Caenorhabditis elegans: one gene and its partner. The protein of the gene in region 2 purifies or fractionates together with the protein of the main gene of each other region. This does not show direct contact. Each region holds a gene or a part of one and is shown on either strand. Other genes may lie near its edges. The genes, in order: zig-10 and src-2.

The links.
Region 1: the proteins of src-2 (region 2) and zig-10 purify together in Caenorhabditis elegans (affinity purification with western blotting, with the first as the bait; one study listed by BioGRID). This does not show direct contact.

Annotation. Positions count from the first base shown.
Region 1 is NC_003280.10:6,396,780-6,401,727, reverse strand, and holds zig-10 (Ig-like domain-containing protein), read right to left. Parts: upstream 3,023-4,948; 5' UTR 3,020-3,022; coding exon 2,962-3,019; intron 2,299-2,961; exon of another isoform or gene 2,168-2,298; intron 2,130-2,167; coding exon 1,687-2,129; intron 1,435-1,686; coding exon 1,257-1,434; intron 1,216-1,256; coding exon 926-1,215; 3' UTR 725-925; downstream 1-724.
Region 2 is NC_003279.8:14,320,309-14,328,451, reverse strand, and holds the start of src-2 (Tyrosine protein-kinase src-2), read right to left. Parts: upstream 6,216-8,143; 5' UTR 6,166-6,215; coding exon 5,920-6,165; intron 5,872-5,919; coding exon 5,750-5,871; intron 4,890-5,749; coding exon 4,768-4,889; intron 3,983-4,767; coding exon 3,785-3,982; intron 3,150-3,784; coding exon 3,079-3,149; intron 1,424-3,078; coding exon 1,160-1,423; intron 1,101-1,159; coding exon 812-1,100; intron 1-811. UniProt on the Caenorhabditis elegans protein: Non-receptor tyrosine-protein kinase which may play a role in larval and pharynx development. Unlike src-1, does not play a role in embryonic development.

The DNA of each region.
Region 1 (4,948 bases), on a different chromosome or scaffold from region 2:
CAAGAATCCGCTTGAAAAATCATATCTCGATGGGACTTCACGGGAACCGCAGAGGTAGAACAACAGATTAACTTTGAATAAATAGAGTATGGATATAATGAACTTGATTTTTCCTTGAATTGAAACTTGTTAGAATATTTTTGCAGGACAATTCCAATACAAACAGGTCTATTTGGAAAGCTGAAAGTGTCACCACAATATGCTATCAACAAAAAGGAAAGAAGTGCCCAAATTTCAGCATCATATCTTGAAATACTAATATATATTTTTCTTGCAATTTCCACCTTAAACAGTTTCAAGGTGTGTTATTTTTTAGACCGATATAGAACGAATTAACTTTATAAATGTAATTTAAAGATTTTAGCAAGAGTAAACATGACAATAATTTTAAATTACTAATTCTTGTCAGGAAACAATGCTTTATATAATAGTATGACAGTCATTTATCTAAATTATTGCTAAACGGAAGTAAGTATTTTGAAAATGAGATATTAACATTAAATTTGTATATTTTTGTTCACAGCTAATAATGGTTTCTGTAATAGATCCGGAACTCCATTGTGAGATAAATTTTAGACATTTTTTAAATATCCGTCGTATTCTGTGGATAATCCGTTGTTCTACCTCTGCCGTTGCCGTGAAGTTCATCGAGGTTAAAAATTTTTTCAAAGTTCCTGTCGTTTCGCAAGTCAGTAATATTCATTTTCAACCAATTTTAACTTTAAAGTTTAAATTTATTGATATATTGATATAAAAATTGAAGAAAAAACTATTACATGTAGAATGACCCGTTGATTGAAATACATTGAAAATGATACAAAACTAAACAATTGAATCCCTGAAAAGTTTGAACGTGGCAACACTGGATGTACAGAAAGATCGGACTACAAGTTTCTAAATTCGAAAGTATAATAAAATCGAAAATCTATGTAATCAATGGATTTTGAACTGGAGGAGTTAACATTCGGGCGTTTACAAAACAATCTGGAAGAGGAACAACAGCTTTTCGGAATCCAGGAGCTAACCGAGGATCTGTTCTCGACCAAAAAGTTGGACGAAGTACTCGACGAGGTCGTCCTGGTTTTAGTAGACACACAGCACAAATGAGATAAATTAGAACTGCACCAGATGTGATAAGGCATCCAAGAAGGAACATAAAGAGAGAGCTACGAAGAGCTGCAGAGCATCCATTCACAAATGTTGGTTTTAAAGATTCTGAAAACAATAGTTGCACGACATTTAAGAGGGGAGTTTACCTAGATTCGCTACCAATTCTCTAGAATCAATGAATGTATTCGTAGAAGCGTGACCAGCAAAATTGTTTATATTGCATTCAAAATAACCAAAGTGATGATATGAGAAGTGTGATATGATGAGTGTTCCATTGGGAAATGCCACATAATCAGACGATATGTGTGATATTGGAAGCGAGTTCTGAAAAATATTCTTTAAGGATAGTTAATTAACTATAACTTTCCTTTTCATTTTAGAAACTAAATTCAATGTGTTTCGGATGAAAACAAATTATGATTACTTTTTTAGGTTTTTGGAAATATTGTATTTTTGAACATCTGAAGGATATAAAATAATTTGGAAATACTTTTTTCATCGATTTCCAAATTTAAGATAATGGAAATTTGTTTCAGTCCGGCTTGCCAACTCTAGGACTAAACCATTACTACTTACCACTGTCCACGTAACTTTCGGAGGCGGATATGCTTTTGGAATCGGACAATGTAGTACCAAAGACCTTCCAAGTGTTGGCACATTTGGCTCCAACTTTATTTTTTCATTTTGTGATATTTCATCAACATATGCAATTTTCAACTGGAACACTTCTCCCCATTTCGAATCATTTTCTCGTTGACAGTAATAATTTCCTTCATCTTCTTTTTGAACATCGAAAATCACTAGAAATCCAATTTCAGGTATCCTTTCTTCTCCTCCACGTGGCTTCCTCTCATTCAGTATTGCATTCTTATGTCCCTCAACTGTTGCAATGACATGTTTATCACGATACCAAGTGACATTTGAAGATGTATATGGTTCACACTCCAGTGCAGTTGTCGATCCAATGGGTACTAACCGCTCGGTTGGCGCCTTTTTTGGGGCCAAAGTGTGAATTGTTTCTGAAAGAAAGGAGAAAGTTACGAAATGGACACTTAAATGAGAATGCGTGGCGCCTCACAGGTCACAAATACAAGCATTTTATGTTTTATGGACGGTGCCGACTGGCGACATGTGGGAGAAAGAAGGATGAGGTTGTCGCCTTTTTATGGGATCTAGTATCATATCCTTCATAAGCTTCTCCGGTATCAAAAAGTGAACTGTGTGTAGTTTTTCTCAATTTTTCGAAATAATATTCTAGTAAAACTAAAAATGTTTAAGATTAATCAATATTTTCAGTCAAACATTTAGCAGTCTCATATCTGGATGTTGGAGAAATTTAGAGTTTAGTTACATGTTTGAAATTCTACTATTTTTAATGCAAAACTTTGAAATATTGTAATTTGAACCTCATACTCAACAATTTATGTATGTCAAAAACCGAATAATTTTCATGTTTTACAGTTAAAACAACATTTAAAAATCCATACTATCATTTTCTTACCAAAAAACCATACCATTTAATTGATTTAAAATGATTTCTTCCCAATCTAGTCTCTCGTACAATCAGAAAATTTTTTAATTTTTTAAAATATTTTCTAAAGAAAACATCTTTTCCATATAAAACTATTTCCGCTAAAACTTTCAAAAAAGCCTCATTCGTTGGGCAATTAGAGATGTATCTCACTCCAGTCTGTCAAAGCAATATGTTTTTGAGCGTCCATTAGCGCATGCGCGAGAATCCGAAAATTATAGGGTGTCAAAGCGATTTAACTCCGTCTCTTGCATCTCGTCAATTAAGCCTTTTGGAGGCAAAAATATGGAAAGCCGGTTGACGGTAAAAATAAAACCAACCAGATAATGCAATCATGAGGATCAAGAGCAATACCAGATAGTGTGGAAAATGGCCCATTTCCTGTAAATTTACAAATTATAAAAATAATAAGTAGAGCAGGATATTTATAATTAAAAAGAAGACAATACGTTGGAAATAAGGGAGAAAAGTTGAATACGGTACGTGTCAAGAGATCGCCGTTCGAAATCTGAGAAATCTGAGAACGACGGGTCCCATATTCGGTCATCTGTCATCGGCGAACAAAGAAAGATGCTAATCAGATGGGCATGGAGGTACTCTTGTAACATTTGGAATTTGACACTATTATCCAAAAAATATATAAAATGAAAACCATAAAAAGCGATGTGTATTTGTTTTGATATTACTTCTTTTTACAATGTTTACAGTAAGTGGAAGACAAAATTTTAAAAACACCCTCCAACTGGAGGAAGGAATTCGTTTATGAGGGTGTTTTCCATTAGGACATTGGAGCATTCATTAGAATATTTTAAAGATATTTTCCAAGAAGATTAGTGTGTGGGAACGGACAACAACCCATTTAACACAAAAAATAATACATTTTCGGCAAAAATGGCCCAGCGAAATAGTCTCTATCTGTCCACATAAGCATAATAATGCATGAATGCCATATATATGCCTACCAACAAAAAAAGCTAGGAGCCGTTCCTACCTACCATAATGGAAAAAACTTGGATTTTGACCGTTTGATTTTTAATTTTATTGTAACTTTTTCAAGAAAATTTCAACGTAGGTAGACTCAAAATGACAACTTTTTTGATATTTCTTTTTAAACTCCTAAAGCCATGATATTTGAGAGGTCCAGATTCTTCTAGAAAGGTAAGTATAATCCTTATTCTTTTTCATAATTTTTATGTTTACCTAACGGAAAAGTTCGGAAGGATATCTAATAGAATTGAATAGTTGAGAAAACAAACAATTGTTGCGAGCTTTTTTCTTTTTTTTTCACCTTTTCAAGTTTTCAAACATGAATTCTGGTATAATAAAATGCCTATAATATCAGTAGATTTGGGAGAAAAAAGAAGATAAAAATGAGTGAGGAAGCATGTATATATCTACTAAGCATACAGTAATAAACCATTACATTAGTACATCATAAAACGGAGGAGGCAAAAGTCGAATGGTAAGTATGAGAATAGTGTGTGAGAATGAGAGGTTTAGAGAAAGCATGTTCCACACTTTTCGTACTTGATGCGCCGGATATGTTAATAGGATTTTTGGAATGAAGCTTCCAAAAAAGATGGATGAAAAACGAATAGAAAGCGTGATAGATGTATCGAGAAAGGTTTTTCGAAAAATTTGCTTGAAATTGAAAATAGAACAGATTCTGAAAAAATAGTAAATTCATGGAAAACAGCTGAACAATTAAAAAATGAGAGAAAACTAAAAATAAACAAACAAGATTTCCAAACCAAATATATCCAAAAAAATAGTAGAGTAGTCATGAAAATGTTTGTTGTGTTATAATGTCATAATCTGATTTTTGTTGGAATGCAATATTTTTTGCGCAAAAATAGGTGTTTGTAGCAATAGGTAAAACTTTTTTGGCATTGAAACATTATTATTTTCTTGAACAAAGCAGAAACATATAAAATTTTAAAGAAAAAGTAGCAGCAAGTGCGATTTAAAACCTCTTAAATCAAAATTATGGGAATTTTGCTTCACCTTTTTAGGTTCGAGTTTGAGTTTTTCGTAATGAAGAGTAATTTTCAAAACGATTTTAATTGAAGACTGTACATAAATCAATTATTGTAAATCTATATCCAAAAGAACTAAAATCGAGTCAAGTTCAAATCGAGTCGTGAAACAAAAAACAAAAACAAAGGAAAAGGAAATCTGGAGCTGTCACGGAAAGCCAAAAAAAAGTGAGCATCGCTGAGTGGCGTGCAAGAAAATGAAATGTTCTTTTTTCTTTTTCTTCTCCGGAGTGAGTCTCTCCGCCAAACAACTCGGGCATCCTACTGGAAG
Region 2 (8,143 bases):
ATTGCGGGCATTTAGACGCAGACTTTTCAACTGATAAACGTGCTGAAGTCACATTCTTTTAAGGGAAAAATTACCGCATTTTTTTGTAGATCAAACCGCAATGGGACAGCCTGACACCATGTGCTCGTGTGACCTCCGGAAATGGCGGGAAATTTCTTTTTTGAAATGTGTGGCGTGTTTCTGGGGTACTACACGGTTTGATCAACAAAAAATGCGGGAGTTTTTCGTTCTAAAAATCACTTTAGAACTCTGCGTCTCAACTCCGCGCATTTTTTGTAGATCTACGTAGATCAAACCGAAATGGGACACTCTGACACCACGTTCTACAGTAAAACTTAGGCTACATCGCATTTTTCAAAATTTGAATTTTCCGCGATTCCCGGAGATCAAACGGCGAAGGGCGCAGGAATATTCCACATTTTAGTTGACGCGACCTATTCCCAAAGTTTTGCGAAATTTTCAAGGCCCCTTCAATAAGGGACTTAATTTTTATAATTAGCGAACTGGTACCATTTTGTAAAAAAAATAATTTGACCTCAATAAAAGGCGGGATGTTAGTTTTCAAAAAAGCTCATATGACGTCAAAATTTTTAATTCAAATTCCCGCCACTTCTGGAGGTCATGCGGCAATGAGACCATCTTACGTTGTGTCAGGCTGTCTCATTGCGGCTTGATCTACAAAAAATGCGGGAATTTTTCTCCCAGAAAATGGTGACGTCAGCACACTCTTAACCATGCGAAATCAGTTGAAAAGTCTGCGCCTAAATTTCCGCAATTCGTGTAGATCAAACGGGTCGGTTCAAATCCTCACCTGGATAGGGTAACCGTCCGAACGTGACAATCTCGGTGAGCAGGATTCCAAAACTCCAGACATCCGACTTGGTTGTGAATCGATTATAGTTCGCCGCCTCGGGCGCCGTCCATTTTATCGGAAACCGTGCTCCGGTTCTTGCTTCGTACTCGTTCTCCTTCATCAATATCCTGGCTAACCCGAAATCTGCGATTTTTACAGATAGGGAGTTGTTGATAAGGATGTTTCGTGCTGCTAGGTCTCGATGGATGAAATTCATCTCCTCTAGGTAGGCCATTCCAGCGGCAACCTGCAAAACTTTTTTTGAAATTTTTTTTTAATTTCGAGGAATCCGAACGTGAACCTCACCTGCGCCGAGATCTCCACCAGCTGAGGCATCTGACACTGCCGACCTCGTCGCTGTAAGAATGTGAGCAGATTCTCCTGCATTAGCTCGGTGACTATAAGAATCGGCTCATCACGTGTGCAGACTGCATACAGGGACAGAAGCTTCGGATGCCGGAGCTTCTTCATAATCTGTGCCTCGGCTAGGAAATCCGTAGGATCTGCGGTTCCGGCCTTTAGCTTTTTCACAGCGACGGGGACGTTCACATTCCATCGGCCTTCCCATACCTGGAAATTGATGGTTTATGTAGTACATCCAGGATCTGCAAGCTGATTTGCAAGTGCGCTCTAATTAAAAAATGACAAATGTTCTCACTAGAGCGCACTTAAACATGCAAGCATAAGGGGGGGGGGGGCGGGGTTAGGTAAAAAGTTCAAAGTTCAAACACACACTTTAGTAAGCTGTAGTAAGAATTTTCGTATGTTTAGCCATTTTTCGCATGGTTTTGAAGCTTCATAGATTAAATTTCTTACAAAACTCATATTTTCGTTCATGCTTGCAAATTTAAGTGCGCTCTAATGAGAACATTTGTCATTCATTTTAGGGCCTTGCTATCTATATTCGAGGTTGAGTTTTTACTCATGGTGCATCGACATTTCCTTATAACCCTAGTGGTAAATCTCTATGTTCCAGATCCCTTCGTTTTATGAGATCTCCTAGCGGAACTGATGTTTGTAGGGGAGTGATATCATGTTTCAAACCGGTCCTATCTGTTTCAATATTGGCGGCTGTAGCTGCTCGGATCAGGAGATGGAAAAGTCAATAGAAAAAGGGGAAACCGTTTTATCCGGTTGTTTTAGGATCTACACTAAAAGCCCCTGGATTAAGAAAAACACGGAAAAATAAAAGCCTGAAGTTTTTTAGTCCATAGGCTGAGAGGTTTCTGGGAGTTACACTCAAAATAAAAAACTAATATTTAGGCCCCGCCTTTTTCTCGTCCGCTCACGGAGAAAAGGCAAAAATATTGACCCTAACCAATATCAGGCCGCCGACATCTCACGGGTTTCGCGCGCCGCTGCGTTTAACTTGCTGTGGGCGTGACGAGCTGTCTCCGCCCGCTGCGAGTTAAACGCAGCGACGCGCGGAACCCGTGAGATGTTGGCGGCCTGATATTGGTTGGGGTCAAAATTTTTGCCGTTTCTCCGTAAGTGGACGAGAGAAAGGCGGGGCCTAAATATTAGGTTTTCTGCAGTACACGCCACGCAGTTTTTTTTTATTTTGAGTGTAAAGTAGCGCCTACACGGATTTCTGGCTCCCCTCATAAATTGAGATGGAAGAGTTTGCCGAACAAGGCCATTTTGGATCGGCCATATCTGGGGTAGAATTACGGCGCGTTGCGTGTCGCGTCGCGGCTCGATTTTAGTTTTAAAACTTGTTGTAGTTGTCCGTGTGGAGTGCACGATTTTCCCACGCGTTGTCCAGGTCAATGGAGCGCGAAAAAATCAATAAGGAAGGCCAGAACCCCGTGCGCCTAGAAATATCAAGAAAAATTCTTGCTCATGCGATTTTTTGGGGTTTTTTTTACAAAAAAACCTAAAATTTTTCAGGCTCTACCCTAACAATTGTAATTTGGGGCTACACATGGTGCATCGGGGACCCACCCCCCCCCCCCCCCCCCTGCAATTTTCCCCTAAGATCATCTCCTTACCCCCACTCAATTAGCATATCTTCTCCTGTTTATCTCGTTCTCCATCAATTCTCTATACACACACACACACACACACACACACACACACAAATATACATCAAACACGAACGGAATAGGCAACAGGAGGAGGAGGAGGAGGATGAGCCTGTGCACACTATTTGGCGGGCTGTGGGGCTGGCGGGCAGGCAGGCAACGTGAATAAGCAAACAACCGAAAGAGAATGATGATGCTTACCTCTCCAAACTGCCCGGCTCCAATTTGTCGAATGAGACGAACCGAACGGCGGTCCACTTCCCATTGGTCATCTGGAATGGGAATTTTGAACATTTTTAAAGGTAACTGGGCGCCTTGTGGGTCCCTGGAATTGTTTGGCCTAGTAGGTAGGCACAATAATGCCTGCCTACCTTTAAGTCAACTTTGGCCTGAATTAGGTTCGCCTTTTGCCTACTGGATTTACCTAGGTTTGTAGTAGGTATCTAAGCATGTAGTAGGTATCAAGGTATGTAGTAGGTATCTAGGCAAGTAGTAGGTATCTAGGCACGTAGTAGGTATCTAGGCATTTGGTAAGAATCTAGGCATTAAGTAAGCACCTAGGTATCAGGTAGGCATCTAGACACGTAGTAGGTATCTAGACATGCAGTAGGTATCTGGGAATGTAGTAGGTTAATAGGCACGTAGTAGGCATCAAGGCATTTGGTAGGCATCTAGACATCAATAAGTTACCTAGGTATATAGTTGGTATCTAAACATGTAGTAGGCATCTAGACATCAAGCAGTTACCTAGGTATGTAGTAGGTATCTAGGCACGTAGTAGGTATCTAGGCATGTCGTAGGTATCTAGGCATGAAAAAGGTATCTAGGCATGTAGTAGGCACCGAGGTATCTAGTAGGCATCTAGGCAGATGTAGGCACCTGTCAGGCATAAAAACTTCCAGCTTACCATATGTGAATGTCGTTGTCTGTGGGGCTTCTGACTTGGCACAAGGAGCTCCCAGATTCACACAAAGACCATCGGCTTCTCGTTGGTAATGTGCAATCAGGTCGTGTAACGTGGCAAACGGGCGCCTCCGGGCGATAAAATACCCGCCGTGGTCCAGTTGACGGATACGGTAGTGCTTTACGCTGTCGTTCTCTCGGACTGCAAGAAAATTGGGATTAATAGGGGGATTTTGGACTACAAACTACAATCTTCAAATTTAAGAAAACTTGGAATTTGATGAGTTTGTTTTTTTTTTGACAGTTTTTGGAATGTTACAAAGGAAAAAAAAATACTGAAATATTATAAATTTGAAAAATTCAAAATTCCCAAAAAAACGTTTTTTGGTAACTCTCAAAAGAGCTTTGAAAGGTTTTCTACAAACTACAAACTACAAACTACAAACTACACACTACAAACTACAAACTACAAACTACAAAGCACGAAATACATATTTTTTTATAATTTTTCAGAATTGTAAAATTGAAAATAAAGATAAAAACTTTTTGTAATACTTTCAGAAAAAATGAAATCTATCAGTTTTTCAAAAAACATTTATTAAAAAATTAGAAAATTATTGGCAAAAAATTCAATAAAATTTTTTTAAAAAAATCGAAAATGATTTTTCGAATTTTTTAAAAAAAGTTTTAAAAATTAAATAAACATCTATGTATATTCCATCTATTTTTGACAGTTTCCATCTAAATTCCCCCATCCCAAATTACCCATCTAAACCCATCAAAATCTCCCAATTTGCCTCCTTTCTCCCAAATTCCCATTACTTTCGGAATCATAAAAGGTCGGGGCGAGCGGGGATAACCTCTTTTCTGCCTCTTACTGTCACCGCGCCTTTCTCATTTTGTTGTATCCGACCTTGATTATCTCTCCCAGAAAACCGGTTTTCGCCCGCCATGTGCCCTATGGGGCGCCCTTAAAAGTTCACTGACCTGATAATGATAAATCATGCTGTCGACTTTCGGAATCTCTCACTAAAAATGCTCCGTGCTCATTTAAAGTGTGCAATAGACATTTTTCCGCATCGATTCGCCGCATTTTTCCAAAGTACCACCTGGAAATTTGTAAAAATTTAGATTTTCGGATTTTTAAAATCTTATTTTTTGAATCCCTGTAACTCTGCAATAAAGCAAGCTATTAAAAAGTTGTCAACTATTAAATTGTAGCAAATTTTATGTTCTACAGTTTGCTAGTTGCCAACTTTTTGATATCAATCAATTTTAAAAAGTTATCATAGTTTTAAGGCCTACACGGATTTCTTCTAGAAATCCCTATAACTTTTTAATGGTGTTAGCTATAATATTAAAAAGTCGCCAACTAACAAAATATAGGGAATATTAAGTACTTGATTTTAGGTACTACTACCAGTGAACTACAAAATTATTCGAGTTTTAAGGTTTTAATGTGAGTTGGAATTTTTCTAAGTTTCGTAAAAATGTTATTTTTTTCAAAATTTCGTTAAAGCTATGTAACTCTACAAACATTAAGTTACTGAAAAGGTTCAAAATACGAAAATGTAGTAAATTTTACAATTAACATTTTGTCAGTTGACAACTTTTGCCGGTAAAAATACACTTAAAGAGTTGAACCATTTCTACGCCTGCTCTGATTCCCCGCTGACACCTCTAAAGTGCTATAACTCTTCACTGGTGCTAGCTATCAAAAAAGTTTAAACTAACAAAATGTAGGAAATTTTCTGCTCTACAATGTGCTAGTTGACAATTTTTTTGTATCTCACAAGCCAAAGGAGTTATGACAGTTTTAGTTACACCTGATCAAGCCCCTGTGACAACTAACAAAGAGGCGCTGGATAGCTCAGTAGGTAGTGGTAACCACCAGCAATCTGGAGGTCACAAGTTCAAGTCCGGCCTCTCTCCCTAGGCTGGCTAAAAATTCAAAAAAAAAAAAACTTACGGCTGTGACTCGATACTTTTCTCCCTGGCAACATAATTCGACGGGATATACCCAGTCCGTCCAGTTGCCTTGTGCCTGGCGAACCACCAGTCTCCTTGGGTATCATTTAGAATTTCAAGGATCTGAAAGAATGAGATATGGAGTTTCAAAAAATAAAATAAAAAACTAACATCATCCTTCTTAAAACTCAAATCATCATCTGTCCGTGCATCATATTGGAATAAAGCGACAAAATTCGCAGATTGCGAGATATTCTGATTTTTATCAATCGTATTTCCACTGGAAGACGCCGCAATCGGACCGATGGACGGAATTCGTGGATGACTTGGCAGTGACTCCCTTCCCAACGTGGATGACGTGTGGACTGGTGACGTTGCACCAGGCGGTGGATCCTCTTTTCCAATACAGGATCCCATGGGGAGGAACGGACGATCCTGGTGTCGTCAGTTTTTTGATTTGGGAGGTTCTGGAAGAAATTTAGATAGTTCTGGTTCATTAGGGTTCGCTGGACAAAATATAGCGTTTTAAAATTGTCAATTAGCAAATTGTAGATCAAAAAAATTAAATTTACTACAACTTGTGAGTTGACAACATTTTGATAGACACTAGCACCAATTAAAGTTATAGTTATAGGGGTTTCCAGGAGCCAGGGCAAAATAGGTGTGGGCGTTAAACTGCCATGAATCGTTTAAATATATATATATATATATATGCCAATTTGTTTTTTGATATGCCAATTTGTTTTTTGATATGCCAATTTATTTTTTGATATGCCAATCTATTTTTTGGTATGTCAATCTATTTTTTGATATATATATATCAAAAAGTGGTCAACTAAAAAATTGTAGATTTCAAAGCTTACTTCGTTTTATCAGTTAAAAACTTTCTGACTACTTGACACGCTGGGGAGCTACAGGGTTTATAAATCCAGAAAATTCATTTTTAGCGAAACTTTAGGTGGGAATTTGGAAAAATGCAGCGATAAATGTCTGCTGCACAATTTAAAGGAGCCTGGAGCATTTCTTTGTAAGCGATTAAAAAAAAGGGCCCAAGAAAACTTGCAAAAATTTTTAAGATGATCAGTCAAGTAAAAATAATTTTGGACTAGTTTCAAAAAAGAAATAACACAAAACTTGTGAACCAATAAAATACTTAATGCGAAATTTTCTTATATTTCTTCGTTATGGGGTTTCAGGGGCAAGCTAGGACTAACTAGCTGTATTAAATCGACTATAACACCTTCAGATTAATAAATATAAAAAAGTTGTCAACTAACAATACATTACGCATAAAATTTGCTACATTTTTTTAGTTGACAACTTTTTGACATCTAGCCCCAATAAAGAGTTGTATGGATTTCTAGGAGCCATAAAAATAACTTTCTGGACTACTACTATATCTATTTTATCCTGAAAAATATGAAAAGTTGTCAGCTAATAAAAATCAAAAAATTTGACCGTAAAATTGGCACTAAATTATAATATATGAGTTACAACTTTTTCAATATATCAATCTTCTAGAGTAGAAAATTCAGTTTTTAAAGTAAAATTTCAAGCTAAAAGGTTACAATAAAGCAGGAAAGGAACTCATAGTATTAATCGAGAACTATTATAATTTCAGTGCCTAGAATTTAAACTGAAATTTCTCTCGAATAAAGTGAGCAACAAAATTTAGGGATCAAAGTTTTTTAGGCTAACAATATTCCGACAAGGTGTCAGAGTGTCCCATAACGGTGTGATCTACAAAAAATGCGCCAACTGTTGTCGCACGGTTAAGAACGTGTTGACGTCACAATTTTCTGGGCCAAAATTCCCAGTTCCAGGAGTTTTTCAGCCAAAGCTAAAAAATCTTTTAAAAAAGGCCTAAAAACTATGTTCCAAAGTAGTAGTATAATCTAAAATTGGGGGACCTAAAAGGAAAACTACATTTTCTATCTTTGGCGAAAATTGTATAATAAGAACTATGAAAATACAAAATATTAGGTAAAAAACCCAAAAGCCGGAAAGAAATTCATTTAGCCGGTTGCTGGCTAGCCCACCGTCTTTGGGGTGAAAAAGAAGAGGGAACTGTTTTTGTCTCATTCTCTCTTCATCCCTCTCACTATTTGTCCACCGAGGTCAGGCATCTCTCTCTCTCTCTCCCTCTCTCCGCCGCGCCGTTTAGCAAACATTTGCGGAACGCGCGTGCCTTAAACTCCCAATTGCAGGTAGCATACTGATCCCAAGAGACGCAGACCTACAAAAATGGCAATTTCGACAGCAGCGGAGGCGCCCGCGCGCTGGTGGGAAAACATCTTTTTTTGCGCGCGGAGAGGACAGGGAGAGAGAGAGGATGATGAAGCTGTCATTATCAAATTAGATTTGATTAACAGGCTAGGGATTTAAGCTTTCATTG